2 linked regions of the Lonchura striata genome follow. Each later gene encodes a partner of the first gene's protein in a complex. Links are inferred from orthologs where the notes say so. Each region holds a gene or a part of one and is shown on either strand. Other genes may lie near its edges.

Evidence for each region. The genes of interacting proteins can lie anywhere in the genome.
Region 2: the proteins of PTPN22 (region 1) and PSTPIP1 are in contact, whole or in part, in a crystal structure (PDB 7AAM), measured with the Homo sapiens proteins. The link is inferred for Lonchura striata from reciprocal best matches to the Homo sapiens genes PTPN22 and PSTPIP1. Residues at the interface, in NP_057051.4 of Homo sapiens: Ser793, Lys794, Pro795, Gly797, Pro798, Arg799, Asn800, Pro801, Pro802, Trp805, Asn806; in NP_003969.2 of Homo sapiens: Thr225, Arg228, Asn229, Trp232, Asn236, Ser239, Met240, Cys242, Val243, Asp246.

The regions. Positions count from the first base shown.
Region 1 is NC_134632.1:4,789,088-4,797,123, forward strand, and holds the start of PTPN22 (tyrosine-protein phosphatase non-receptor type 22), read right to left. Parts: upstream 3,058-8,036; 5' UTR 3,023-3,057; coding exon 2,936-3,022; intron 252-2,935; coding exon 143-251; intron 1-142. Other genes in the region: AP4B1 (AP-4 complex subunit beta-1), read right to left, coding at 4,811-5,286, 5,696-5,980, 6,498-6,705, 6,863-6,966, 7,873-7,956. UniProt on the Homo sapiens protein: Acts as a negative regulator of T-cell receptor (TCR) signaling by direct dephosphorylation of the Src family kinases LCK and FYN, ITAMs of the TCRz/CD3 complex, as well as ZAP70, VAV, VCP and other key signaling molecules.
Region 2 is NC_134613.1:4,992,841-4,999,866, reverse strand, and holds the start of PSTPIP1 (proline-serine-threonine phosphatase-interacting protein 1), read right to left. Parts: upstream 3,028-7,026; 5' UTR 2,888-3,027; coding exon 2,855-2,887; intron 1-2,854. UniProt on the Homo sapiens protein: Involved in regulation of the actin cytoskeleton. May regulate WAS actin-bundling activity. Bridges the interaction between ABL1 and PTPN18 leading to ABL1 dephosphorylation.

The sequences.
Region 1 (8,036 bases):
TCTGAGCAGCAGGACTCAAAGCCAACAGACAGCAGTGAGATGCTCACATACAACCACTGTGCAGGCAGGCAGCAGAGAATGAGAACAAGAAAAGCAAGAAAAACAAAAGGCTGAGTAGGAACATGTGCCATTTCCAACCTACAAGGTAAGATGTCCTTGTATCTGTTTTTCTTGACGTTCTCTGGCTGCTCAGATGCTGCTGTAGGGTAGATTTTATCCGCTCTGTACTTTGTTGACTGTCTCTTCAGCTTCTGTGATAAAAGAGTGGAACAAATTACAGCAGACGTGCTACAGCCAGCTCACTACTAGAGAGCACATGAAGGTCTCCAGGGGTCACGTTTGCTACCACAAAGCAAGGCTGGCACCATTAATTCTTTCCTGAGTGGCTTTGCTCAGAGCAGGAACAGAGCCAGAACCATCTGAGAGCCCCAGCAGAGGCTTGAGAAGGATGGAAAGTGTGTGCTGAGGCAGTGCCCACACGTCGGTTTGTGAAGTGACACAAAGTGGGTGAGGCCCAGGGGAGCCACTCTCAGTACAAATGGCACCCAGATCAGAGGAGTGACAGTGTCAAAGCACCTTCAGCGAATGATACCAGAAAAGACAGGTAAATCTCTTGATTTTTCTCACTTTGGTAGAGGTGCTCCCATCTGCAGCTGGAAGCAGTGATGCTCAAGTCACTAAGGGAGCACAAGCAACTGGGGCAGAGTGGCTCCATGGACTGATGAAAGACAAGGAGTCCTGGGACAGACCCTTAGGGCTGCAAAGCTCTCATCTCTTTCATTTTAAGGATAAAGCTGCAGCACTCACAGGGAGTTAAAGCATTTTTCTTCTGGTAAAGCATAGAATTTTATTTCACTGCCACCAGCTCCTACATAACACACACTATTTGTTACCATCAGTTTCAGAAGCACCATTCTCATTGCATTTTTTCTTTCCTATTTTTGTGTCCAGATTGCTGGCTTTTAATATTAAATTGCAGTTTTAAAACACTAAATTCAGCCACAATAGAAGCTAAATCTCAGAGATCTGATGGAATGAGTGAGGGAGGAGGTACAGGAAGCTCAGGACAGTCCATGTGTCCAGTCTCGCCAAGGCCCTGAATCATCTGACTTTTCTGTCCCTGAATAATCTGACATGAAACAGCTTGGGAACTGCCTAGGCATGAAAAAGGAAGTGGGAATCACAGAATCATGGACTACCCTGGGCTAGATGGGACCCATAAGAATCCTTGAGTCCAACTTCTGGCCTTGCACAGACATCCCAAAATCCCACCCTGTGCCTGAGAGCGTTGTCCAAATGCTCCTGGAGCTCTGGCAGCCTCGGGGCTGTGCCCATTCCCCGGGGAGCCTGGGCAGAGTGCAGATGAGACTGCAAACAGAACAAGGGGACTCTAACAAAACCCCTATCATTTATAGTAACATCACCACAATTTGCCCATAAAAATGCTTGGTCCCACAAGGAGAGGGCAGGAATTGGGGTGGAGGAACGCCACTGGATATATCTGTCACGTCTGGAAACAAGCCAGCACGATGGCCTGCTGAGGCCGCTGCCTTGCAAAAGCGGCCACAAATCTGGTGTCTCTGAGAAGATCTTATCCCATACAACAGGAAATGCAGCCTTGACCATTTCCACCTGCCATTTTGGTCAGAAATTAATACATCAGGCTGCTGGAGACAGCCTGAGCAGCAGGGCAGAGCCCACTGCCTCACACACGCAGACACCAGGCGGAGCGAGGGGAAACTCAGCAGGCTGTGACAGCGCTTTGTTCCATGGAACAACGGGCTGCCACTGCAGGCTCAGATTAATCACTTCCCTCCACCCAGACACCTGGAAACCAAGCACGCAGCTTTCCCCTGAGTGTTTGAAGTGCCAGTTTTGCTGGTATGACAGAGCAGGGCTGGAGCTGGAACTTGTGTGGACCCCTTGGTAACCTGGAGCCCACTGCCCGGGTCGGTGCAGTGTTTGACACCTCTCAGATCTCACAGAGGTACCAGTTTTACCCTTCCCTGTGTCTGTGAGAGCTGGGCAATGTCACTGCCCTCAGAGCAGCCCAGCCAGCCTGTCAGAGCCACCTGCCTCCAGCTGAGGCACCAAGAGCCACTCCAGCCACCAGCTTTAGCCATGAGATGGTGCATTAGCATCCGAGCCTCACCCCTGGCACCCAAACCACAAAATACATCAGAGAGCTCACAGATTCAGGGCAACACAGAACACAGAGGGTGGTGGGAGCCATCAGCATTTTGTGCAGCTTTTGCCTTGAGGGAACAAGAAAGCAGTTTCCAGGAGGAGCCAGGAGCACTGCTGGATGTGGAGCACACAGGTCCCAGAATGGCTTAGGTTGGAAGGGACCTTAAAGCTCCTCTAATTCCACCCCTTGCTGTCGGCAGGGACACCTGCTGCTCTCCCAGGTTGTTCCAAGCCCTTTCCACCCTGGCCTTGGACACTTCCAGGGATGGGGCAGCCACAGCTCCCTTGGGCAACTTGTGCTTTATAGAAACAAGGACAAGCTAAGTCAAGGTGAAACCAGAGATGCCTGGCAGGAACTCGTGTGCCACAGGTCTAACAGATTGCAATGGGGAGAAGGGGAAGAGGCTCCATATTCCTCCCTGTATCCCCAGTTGTGTCACCAGGGCCAGAGGCTCCATATTCCTCCCTGTCCCCCCAGTTCTGTTACCAGGCAAAGTGAAACCGTGTCCCGACAAGTGCATTCACCAAGCAGAAAACAGGAAGCACTCGGGTGATTAGTTAAAAAGCAAACAGTTCAAATGCAAACTATTAATTTCCTATCATGTCTTCACATTCCTCTTAGCCCAATTAACTTCTGGGTGTCTGCTGTAAAACTCCTAGAAAACCTCACTGTTACAGGTTTGAGAGGTGACCGAGCGATTCCCCCGACATGAGCTGAAGCGCTGAGCCAAGCCTTGAGTGAACTCACCAAAAACTCCTCTGCAAACTCTCCTCGGCTGAGCTTCTTGCCCTGGGCCCTTTCCAGGTTCTGTAGCAGGATCTCCCTTTGGTCCATGGTGCCGGAGCGTGCCTGGCCTGGCCCTCCTGGGAAGGGACATGTCAAGTGATCCGCAGCGGAAGGCGCCGCCGGGGAGAGCTGCCTGTGGTTTTCTGACTTCATCACAGCCCCAAAGGAAATTAGTGCGTAGCAGATAATCCTGGTCAAACACAACAGAACACACGGCACAGGGCCCTGGCACCTCCATTCAAACCAGCCCCACCTGGCACGGGGTGGGCAGCACTGAGGACAAGGGTAGGGACATGCTGGACACCAGTCCAAGCCCCCCACCACCCCAATTCCTTCAGCACCGTGTCCAGCCATCACTGCCAGGGGTAGCCAGGGGTGAGCACAGGGGGCAACTGTGGAGCATTCACATCCCAAGGATCTGTGCTTCACCAGGAATGCTTTGAGCCTGGAATGGGGCTGGAAGAGTCCATAAAACAGCATGGAAAATCCACAGTTCCCCTTCACGCTTTTAACATAGAATCCCAGAATGGTGTGGGTTGGAAGAGAACTTAAAGCTCATCTCAATGGGCAAGGATACCTTCCACTATCCCAGGTTGCTCAAAAGCCCATCCAAGCTGGCCTTGGACACTTTCCAGGGATGGAAGTTCTGGTGTTTTCCACTTCAGCTCTCCCTGAGGACAGGAACACAACACAGCTCTGGCAACTGTCAGCAGGAAACCTGCTACAGCTAACTGGTGATCTGCCTTTGAGTCCATCTGCAGGTTCACCCTTTACAGTAATTTGGCATTTGAGGCTGAGATTAATTTATTGCCCAATTGCTCCTTAAAGCTTTGCTGCAAGGAAGGTCAGAGAGAAAGGCCCTGTTGGACACAGAGGCAGGAGCTGGGCTGCAGAGCTGCCCTGATCCACAGATCACTCCATCCACAGTCCTGAGGGTTGAAAGAACAAGAAACTCCAGAATCAGCCAAGAATTATTCACCTTTTTATTAGGGAAGTGTGTTTAACAGTGGCAGGGATTTGGTGAAGTGCATGGGAGGCACAGTGCCGTTTGAGGGTACAATCGAGTCATTCAAAGAAACCGAAAATCAGAAATCAGAAGAGGGTTAAAAGAAGCTTGTGCTCCTCACAGAGTACCCTAAAGCCCTGTTAGCTCAATCTCACTGTGTACATCATCCTGAATGAAGGAGCTGGGGGGGAACTTCAGAGAGAATTCTCACCTCAGTACCACATTTCAATTAAAAACCCACATCTGTCTCTTGAAGTGTTGGTTCCAGCAGTCAGGATGTCCCTGCCCACCCTCCTCTGGCACAGCAGAACTCTGCTCACCCCAAAGCAAAGCTACTACTGAAACCAGACAGCAAATTAAAACAAGTGTAAAAGGAGCTAAGAATGAAAGATTCTCTTCTCACTGCTCTGTTCCTCTTAATGTGAGGTAAGTGGCAGAGTCCTGGTGCCTCTGGTGTTTGGTTTGGGTTTTTTTAAAATTATTTTTAAGTCTCAGGAAAAAAACCTCTCCAAAACACACCCCTGAATTCTGCTCACTTCTGGTTCCATCAGTGATGTTTGTGCCTCGTGACACCCACCACAGATGCCACCAGTCCTGTGACTCACACCAGTGACCCTGTCCTTTCCCCAGCCTGGGGGAGGGCAGACCCTCCACCCTGCCCTGTTCCCCAGCCCCAGCTGCAGCTTCCCCCACACCACCTGGGCTTTCCAGGTAATCTGGAAACTCTGCAGTTTAAAACTACCAAACCAGCACTGGGTAGGGTGAGAGAACGCAGAGAAATCAAATTTTCCTGTGCTCTGAGCATGCATCCTGCTGGGAGCAGGGACCAGTCAAGACTCCAGTCCAGCCACTGCCTCCAGGACTGTCCTCAAGGCTGAGATGAAGGATTGCAGTGCCTCTGGCTTTGCTTCAGTTTGCTTCACTGAAACCTGCAGCTCTGAATCTGCTGCCTCAAGCAGGAGCTCTGTGAGGAAGAGGCAGCCTGAGTCATCCTGGGCACTCAGATAAGCTTTCCAGGGCTGGGCTCCAGCTTTGCTCATGGCAATGGTCTGGATGTGCACAACACGAAGGGCTGTCTGGATGGTGTCTGCATGGACAGGCCCACACCAGGGCAGAGAGAGCTGGCAGCTCGTGTCCAGGCTCAGCCAGGTCTTCTCAAACTGTTCTGCAGTCAGGGAAACATCAGGAATCAAGCTTAGGCTGCCTGCATCAGGATGAGCCTTGAGGAGTTCTTTATTCCCTTCAGACATCAGAGTATCAGGATGAACCTCAGGGACTTCCTTATTCCCTTCAGAAACCAGTGATTCTGAAATGAAAGCACAAACACTTGTGAGATGCAGCTCCCAGCTCCACAAAGCCCATTGGATGGAGGAGGGCTGGAACCCCAGTGCCACCAGCAGCATTTCCTGGGCTAGTCAGTGACCAGCCACACACTGCACACCAAATCCCCAAAGCCCTCTGACCTTTTTCCAAACAAACCCACGGGAGAACATCTTGGCTGCCCAGAGCAGCTGGGGCTGCCCCTGGATCCCTGGCAGTGCCCAAGGCCAGGCTGGACAGGGCTGGGAGCACCTGGGACAGTGGAAGATCCCTGCCCATGGCAGGGGGTGCAAGAAGAGGAATTTCAAGGCTCCCTTTAACCCAAGCCATTCTGGGATTCTGTGATCTGCTGGCAAGGGGAGAATGGCTCCCAGAGGAAGGCGAGGCAGGTTTACCTGTGTCTCTGCTGCTGGAGTCAGCACAGGGAGGGCAGGAGTAAGAGGGTTCCAGAGGCTGCTGAGCAGTGGCCAGGGCCCAGCGCTCTCTGCCATAAACTGTGGCCAGAGTGTTGAACTCCGAAGCCCAGGCATTGACAGGCTGCTTGCTCTGGTCCCCCAGGAGCCCCATGGAGGGGTCAGACTTGGGGCTGCACAGGACCCTCCTCACTTCCTCCACCCCAGACTGCAGAAGGCGGTAGTAGAACAGCCCACGGTCTCGCACGGCCATGTCCTGCTCCTCCTCTGCAACCACAGAAATGCAACCCAGGGAGGATTCTGTCAGCCACACTGCCCCTCAGTACTAACACCTCATTGTTAAAGCAGACTGTCAGGCATACAATGCAAGCCTGCTTACAGGCAGACAGCCAAAGGACAAGGGAGAATGGTTTTAAACCAACAGAAGGCAGGATTAGATGGGATATTGGGAAGGAATTGTTCCCTGTGAGGGGGGAGAGGCCTGGCACAGGGTGCCCAGAGGAGCTGTGGCTGCTCCTGGATCCCTGGCAATGCCCAACGCCAGGCTGGACAGGGAAGGTGTTCCTGCTCAGGACAGGGGGTGGAACTGGATGATCTTCAAGGTCTGTTCCATTCTGATTCCATGACTCCACACTCATCAGCCAGCCATGGGCCAGGCAGCAGCCCAAGCCATGGAAGCACCTGGAAGCAGCCTGGACGGCCTCCTCAGAGCCAGGGCACTGACACAGCCTGGGGACACAGCCAGAGCAGGTCCCTCAGAGCTGTGGGGATGCAGGGAACCCACCAATGCAGTAGTAGAGCAGCCTGCCCAGCATGTCCTGGCACTCGGCGGGCCGGGCCAGGAACAGGCGCAGCAGCGCCGTCAGCAGCTCCATCTTCACTGCTGGGAACGACTCCGACTTCACGTTCTCCACAAAGTCCTCCAAGACGTAGGGAGCATTGGGGATCTTCTCCCCATGGGTGCCCAGGAGCCAGATCAGTGCTTGTTTGCCCTGAAGGAACCACAGGAACACCAGCAAACAGCTGCTGTGTGCCACGTGTTGGCACCAAATAAGCACAATGGGAGAACAAATCTGAGGATTTCTGATTTTTGCCCCCAATCTCAAGGCAAAGGGAAGCTGAGCAGTCGTTGTCCATCCTCCCCCTCACCTCACTGTCCTGGATGGTGTCCTCACAGCCAGGCAGGGCCTGGCACACGGCATCTGTGCACTGGGGACACAGCCAGGCCAGGTCCCGGAAAGTACGGACCACAGCTGCAAGAAAAAACAAGTTATCAGCATCCCCCAGGAGTTATAAAAACCACTAGAGAAAAGAAAAATCATTTCAAACCCCCCCTACTCAAGGGGCTGTGTAAATCTCTGCCAGGAGGGTCAGTGCCCTGCCTGAGACTGTGATTTGAGGCATCCTCCTTCCCAATCCCACGACTGCATTTGTCAGAGCAAAGCTGCACCAGGTCTAAAATAAAGCACTGAGACTTCAGATTGTTCCTCTGCTGGAGAGCAGCCTCTCTTCTGGTCACTGCCAGCCTTTAAAAAGCCTCTGACTCATGATGCTTCAGACACACGAGGTTGGAATGACAAATTAAAGCTGACCCCGATTCAAAATGAGGCTCATGAACTTTAGGTCAAAACTTGAAAGGTTTTGCTGCCCACTCAGGCACACCAACAGCTCCTGAGATGGAATTGAACAGCTGAGTGCAAGTGTGTGGTTTTCAAATCTGAGAGCAAGACCAGTTAAAAGAGAACAGCAGGAACAGCAGCGATGTGAAGGTGGATCTGAGGGCAGAGGAGAAAAAAGGAAGCTTGGGCACAACTGCATCAGACTATTATGTGAGGAACAGAAATCACAGAGATCAAAAAGATTTATTAATCATCTTGGCTCTCAAATAGACAGCAAGATGTCTCTGCTGAGCCCTTCACTCCCTGAGTCAGCAGGTGGCAGCCAGAAAGAAGCATGAACACAGCTACAACCCCTTCCCCTTTCCCACAGAGAGCAGCTCCTGCAGAAGGAACACACCTTACACCCCTCAACCCACCTGGAAAACTTCCAGCTGAAGGTGCCAATTAAACTGAAAGCCAAGTGTCTTTGAGTTTGGGATCACGAGCTCCAGCAAAGGCACCTCCTGAGAGCATAAACCAGCAGCAGCCTGCAATGGTTACCTGAGGTGATGTGCTCCTGCTGAAGCCCCAGAAGCTCTGTCAGAATCCCCACACACTGCTCTGTGTATGTCCTGGCAATATTGGCTGCAAGGATGCCAAAAAGACAAAAGAATCAACCTTCTAGCAGAGTGAAACAGGAATCATAAACCCAGCTACTCATCACA
Region 2 (7,026 bases), on another chromosome or scaffold:
TGTTCCCAGGTGGGTATGGCAAAGCCAGGAAGTGGTGCCAGTACCTTCCTATCTCTTGGCCAGAAATACCTGCATTCCAGGGGCTGCAGCTGCAGTTTTGAGCAGCAGGCTGGAGGGAAACTAAATAGAAGGAAAAGGCAATGACAGAAATTACTAAGGAAAAGCAACAATGAGTGCAAGAACAGAGAATGAATCTCAGAAAGACACTCCGTGACTGAGGGGAAAAGATTTTCTTGGATAGTGTTTTTCATAACAAAACAATTACTGTTGCTCTGCCTGTTAACACAACTCCATTAACATGGAACTCGGCTGATGCCACACAGACACTCCCCCATTAACATAGGAATTTCCCTACCTGTCTTATATGATGCTAGAGAAGACAGGTAACATCTGTCAGGCTCATACAGCAGCCCAGCAGAATATTAATCCATCAGCAACTGCCTTGCACTGGCTATCAAACTCGATCTGAATTTCTATCTCACTAACATTTCCCAAAAAATATTATCAGAGGATAGAGAACTTCTGCTAAGAAGCACATTTTAGTGCAGACTTTGAGCAACTGTCCCTTAAACCATTACAGAGAATGTGGAGTACATATAAATAAAAACTGTAATTAAAAAATACACAGGTTTTTGCTCAGGCCATGCTACAAAGAAAATAAAATTGAACTAAGTGTGGAATAAAATTGAACAAAGTAGTATGGTACTATCACTGCTACATTTATTGGGAAAGAGAGGATAAAACTTAAACCTGTTATGAGGAACAATTTTCCTGGAAGACAGCACATCCTGTTCTATGAAGTCTGGAGAACTTTGGGGAGGGATGAATGGTGCTCTTTCTCTGCTAGCTGAGGGAGATCTCTACATTGAGGTAGGTTCTGAGGAAACCCCTGCTTATCCAAAAGTTTCCTGATGGTGGAGCAGGAAGCTGTTGTTCAGGGACACGGAACACAGGGAGTGGGCGCAGCAATCAGAGATCAGGGCTCTGTGTTGAGGCACCCACCATGGGGCAAACACCTTTTGGGTGTCAATCAGAAAGGCAGTTTCTGTTCAGTGCACAGACCAAATACAGGAGATAAGTGCTCGCTGAAGCAAACCACATGAATACATTTTCCTCTCACAACAGAACCTTATGAATGCAAAAATATTTGCTGATCTTGTGATCTGGGGGGCATGCTGCACACTTGTGCTGTGTTGTGCAATATCCTGTAAGTTTTCACTTTTAAAGACTTACTGTAACAGCTAAAGCTTCTATCCTGCAACCAGATACATTCCTGCCCTCTTAATCAAGCTGGGCAATACATCCAGCCAAAAAAAAAAAGAAATCCAGAGATGCTTTCCTTTAAATAAGGTGTTAGCTTCAAAGCTAAACAAGGGTTTGAGTCATGGCAATGTGACTAAGCACAGAAGAGAAGCTTAGGGAAGAAAAGCCATGAAGAACCAGCCTGGCCAGATCATCAGCTGGCATTAATCACCCTCACACTACCCCCATAGCTTTATTTTCCCTAAAGACCAAGGCATTGAAAAGTAACTATACCAAATGTACCAGCTGTAGAAGTCAGGTGGCTTGTTTTCCAAGGAAGTTCAGCAATGCACAGGCTGAAGCTCCCAGGGTAGCACTGGCCCACAGTTGTGTCCCACCCTGTGCACTGCACTGTGCAGTCAGTGTGTGCACAAAGGAGGAGAATCTCACATAGGTGTGGTCATGCACAGTCAGTCCTAACATCAACACCGACTTTCATATTTCCTCATTGTATTTTTATTCTTTTTAACTGTTCAAATCTAGTACTGCAGTGGGGGTGGGGAGGGCTTCTTGGAAGTGCCTGGAGGATGGTGGTTCACTGAAATGTGTTTTTGTCTCTGCTCTCTGTTTTCTACCAAGAGAGGGTTTACCCTGAAGCGTGGGTGGAGAGAAAGAGACCACAAGGAGAAAGAACAGCCAGGCAATGGCAGGAAGAATTCATATAGTTTCATGTCTTTCTTTAAGTCAGTGCTCAATGCTGGATAAATGATTGCCCAGAAAAGAGGCAACCACATTACATCCTGTTTACTTAACTTTGCAATGTTAGAATTTTGATTTTGAACTTTCATTCTCCAATTGCAAGAGAACCTCAGATTATCATAGAGAAATTACTAAGGTCCTTTTACCTTGTAACTGCAGAGAAAGAGCTTGAAAACAGGAGACCAAAAGGATTTTCAAACAAAAGTCAAATAACAAGTATGGAGCGAATCTCCTCATTTCAGTATTTGCTAGTTTTAGCAAATACTAAACTCAGCTGTGAGTTTGGGCTTAGCTGGGGAGTGGCACTGCTGGTCCTTTCTAACCTGTGCTGCCTCACAGCTCCTGGGCTCTGCATGCCTGGGAATGCTCCTGGCAGCAGGGAGGGAGCCTGGAGAGAGCTGAGCAGGAGCATTTTGCTCACAGCTGCTGGCTCTGCTCTTCCCCAGACAGGAGGGAATTCAGCCTATAATTAGCAACAGCTCACCTGCTCTGGGAGCCACTCACAGAGCTAAGGACACTCACTGCAAGCAGGTTCTTACCACTGTGACACAGACAAATCCATGTCCCTTTCAAAAGAGGTTTCTGGCCCTAGTACAGGATCTGGGAATGTCAGTGGTTTCATGGAGACTGGATATATTCTTTACACTGCATCCTTCTGCCCAGGATCAAACACTTACATTACCAAACACTATGTTTTTGCTGGAGACAAATTTGGATTTTCACTAAATTAAATTGAGAACACAGAACAACATTAAATTAGTTTTAAACTATATACAGAACCAAGCTGTATTTTAAAAGATTTTAAAACACAGGTACATTGAATATAGGAAACACATAGTAAATGCTCACTTACCCAAAAAGCATCTTTAAACTGCAGCTGGGCCATTATTATTGCTCTGCAGAGGGGTAGGAATGCTTCAGCTAGTCCGTTGTGGAGTGAGAGCAGCAGCAGGCACAGCTCTGAGCCTTGTCACTGCACCCCAGCCCAAGCAGAGAGTGCAGCACATCCACAGACCTGTCCCTCCTGAAGTCAGGCTGGTGCCAATAGCATGGGGCTGTTCCAGGCAGCTCAGAGAAATGACCTGTGGCTGTGAGGGACAGAGGGCAAAAGAGCTGTTGCTCACAAACAGAGACAGGCAAGTGCTCAGCACCCGCACCCCAAACCTGTTTCTCTTCTGGTAAACAGTTAATATTGAAATGAGGAAGCAAAGAGATGTCAAATGGTGTCAGGCTGCTCCTTGCCATGGGTGTGTGTGAGCGGACAGGAAAAAAATAGAGGGGGAAAAAAAAAGGCACTAAGTTCAGTGATATGATTTGATCAGCTGAAGGAAGAGAGAAAACAATTACAGTGCAAAAGAAACCACCACAATACATAGAGACAAGCTATTCTCTATTGCTGTGGTCTTGCAAAGAAAAAGAAGCTAAAGAAACATAAGTGCCCCATTTCTGCAGCACCTTCTGGGACTGGCAGAGGCCCACGCCTTTGCACACAGGAAACTTAGCTCAAAGCTGCATTTTGCATCTGGAAAGGCTTTTCAGGACTCAGGTTAAATTAAGAAGCCTGAGAAGTGTGCAGGTGTCTGCACACATTTAGATACCTGGATGTTGATGTAGAGAACACGCCTGATTTGCATGCCCTCACATAAATGTTTATATGAATATGTAAGGCATGTGAAATTTAGAAGTAAAATCCAAAGTCCTCAAAAAGAAGAGCTAAGAATCTGTTAGCACCAGGACCTGAGTGAACCCTCACAGACCAGTGAAGCAGCAGCACTCAGCAGCACACTGCTGACACCAAGTATTTCAGGCAGCTCCCCAAATCAGCTCCTCCAGTTGTTATAACACAGCTGCAAATACCTGAGCACAGAGTAACACTTCTAAAGCTTTCCTGAAACCCTCTCCAAAGCACCTGTCCTCCAGGTGAGGTTGCCTCTGTTCACCTTTTTAGGATGTTTTAAGCATTCTTAAATACCTAGTTTTAAAAATTCACTTGCATTTTTGGGGAGAGAGGGGAGGGGAGGGGAGGGGAGGGGAGGGGAGGGGAGGGGAGGGGAGGGGAGGAGAGGAGAGGAGAGGAGAGGAGAGGAGAGGAGAGGAGAGGAGAGGAGAGGAGAGGAGAGGAGAGGAGAGGAGAGGAGAGGAGAGGAGAGGAGAGGAGAGGAGAGGAGAGGAGAGGAGAGGAGAGGAGAGGAGAGGAGAGGAGAGGAGAGGAGAGGAGAGGAGAGGAGAGGAAAAAGGAAAGTAGTCCTGTGGTGGTTGCCTCTGTGAAAGCTGTCTGTGCACACCAACAACACATCAGGACTTACTGGTTTCCAACTGCCTGTCTGACACTGCTCTGGGTACTGTTGTCCTGCTGCCCTCCAGCAGCAGCCCCCGGGCAGATCATTCCGGGGTGGGGAAGTCTTGCAACTTCCCTGTGCTCCAGCAGGACTCGGGGCTCTGCTCAGAGAGCTCTGCAGCAGCTGGGGGCTGCAGTTACCCCTACTCACTCTGTGGTCAATTTGTAGCTGGTGTTTAAAAGAATTTGCCAGGTTCCTTCCTGGTGGTATGAAGAAGACAGGAATATGCAGGGACTCTGTGAGAGAAAATGAAGTGCAAGCAGAGGAGAGCAGACGAGAGTCTGGAAGGTCAGAGATGTAGCAGGAAGAAAGCATCATTGCATGAGAGTGGGAGGAGAAATGCAAGGATTCACTTGCAGACAATGTTGAGGAGAAAGGAGTGAAACTTTCTTCCAGAAGGGAAAATTCCTTGAAAAAATGTATTTTGAGGGCATGGACACTAGTCATACTTGATCTGTATCCAAAAAGAAAATGATCTTTTTTGAAGTGTTTTATCTCAGTCCTTCCAAACCTAAATGTTTCCTGTTACTATTTCCAAGTTACAGCTGTGTTTTGAAACCATCTTTGCTGCTGTTGGGGTTCATAAAAATGGACCAAGTGTGTTTTAGCCCTCTAAAATGTTATGCTATTTTCTTGTTATTTTTAGTTTGGTTTCCAGCCACAAAGCCTATTATTTGACTGAACCTCAGGCTGGGCTCTATTCCTGCATCCATCCCACCCAAGAGCTCTGGTGTAGCACAGTCACCTCCCAGCAGCTCTCACGCTTCAACGCCATCAGCACTCTGCTGTGGGTGAGCTCCTCAGAACAGCCCAGAGCAGCTCTCCAGTTCGGGAACTTGGATGAGCTGCCAGAGTAGCTGGTGTGAGACCAAGCCCAGCTGTGATGAAGCAGATTTGGGTCAATTTGGGTCTCTGCCCCCAGGTCCCAGTGGCACTGGGTTATATCCATGAGGCACTGTGCCGTGCAGGGCTTTGCAGGGCTTTAGAAGGGGGACACAATTCTGTATCCCCTCTGCTCTACACAGGAACAGGATATCAAGGCTGTGGTGGCTAACAGCTGGCCCAAAGGCCTCAGTTATCCATAATCCCAATCTGATAACCAAAACACAACTAATGACCTTAATTATGGAACTGGGCTGGTGCAGACCACTGGGGAGCAGGCCTAGGCCGGCGAGGACACGAGCAGCTATTGGCCCATCAGGGTTAACCACACAGATCATCAGAGCCACACGGGAGAGCTGCACCTGACCCAAGCTGCCTTGCTGTGTCATCAGCCTTGGTGTGTTTTGTCACGTTCCTGTCTCCAGCATTAAAGGGATTTCAGCCTGACCTGACAGGTTCTCTCAGAAATCCAGCAGTATCAACAAGGAGCCTTAAGTGGAACTCTTCCCTGACAGCCGCTGCATCTCCTTCCATCACTGCTCTTAGAGGTGTAAAATCAGCCATTCTGTTTGGTAACGCCAAGAACACACTTCCTGAGGGTTTTCCCCCAGTAATTAAATTGTTTGGCAGCAGAATGTACCATTTGAATCCATTCTGTAGTAAGAAGGATAAGTCTTGACTTTTTAAAAAAAACACTGTTTTGAAAGCCCTCAAATTTTCTCATTCTTTAGAATGGAAGTTTCATTTAATTTTTAACTATATACTACTTCAAGCAAAGCTTTTTATCAGGGATTTGGGTGGCAAGTTTGGATTTGACAGTAGGCAAAATACAAAAATAGCATCTACAAACATTTTTGTGCTCATCCACGACACCAAGCAAGACATTCTTCAGAGGAAATGTTTTTGATTAAGAAGACAGTAAACCTTTTATTCTACATAGCGAGAGTATGAGGGAGTCCATGGAAAGTATTAAGGCAGAAGACAAAGAAATGCTGAATACTCAGATAATCCCAACGTTGAGCTGGTTGTACTGTTCAGAAGTCCTCAGGCATATTGTGATCCCTTAGAATGGTAGTTTGGCAAATGCCAGTGGAGACTGGAAGGCACTGGTGCAGTCCTTCCCAGCCTCCAGAATCGTTACATCTGAGACACAGCTTCAAACAACGGCTGCAGTGCAGCCATGTCCAAACTCCAACAGCTCCTGGTGTCCAACTGAGCCCCACAGCCTGGGGACAGAGCAGCAAGGAAACCACTGCCAGAGCAAAACCATGGCTAAAACAGACATGATTCAGCAGCTGAGCTCTGCCCACTGTTCTAATTCCATATGAATGGATCTCTGCATTTCCATGTAGGAAATGTCAGGGGCTTGCAAATTATCCCAAATCATACCCATTAAAAATGTTGAAATCACCTTGCCTTCTGTGAGGAGCCAGTCTGTGTTCCCATGGAAACTGAAACTGCAGCCTCTGAACACCTGGCTTGGTTTGTTCCAGCTGCTCTGGACCATTGTGGCTGCAGCTAGAGGCTGCTTCAGCACGGCCCAGACTGCACACCAGGCTCTGCTCAGCCCTGAAACTCAGCTCCCTCTGCTCCTGTTAGAGGGAACTGCTCGAACAGCCTTCCAAAAGCAGCCTCACAGTGCAAGACAGTCCTGCTGGTATTCTGCTTCAGTAAAATCCATAATTGATATAAAGATTGATAGCACAGGCTCTGTTCTTACCTCTTATCTAACATTTCATAACAGTTTCTAATAGAGGCCATCACTGAAAGGTGGACCCTGTTCTGTTGTTTTACCCCAGAGAAA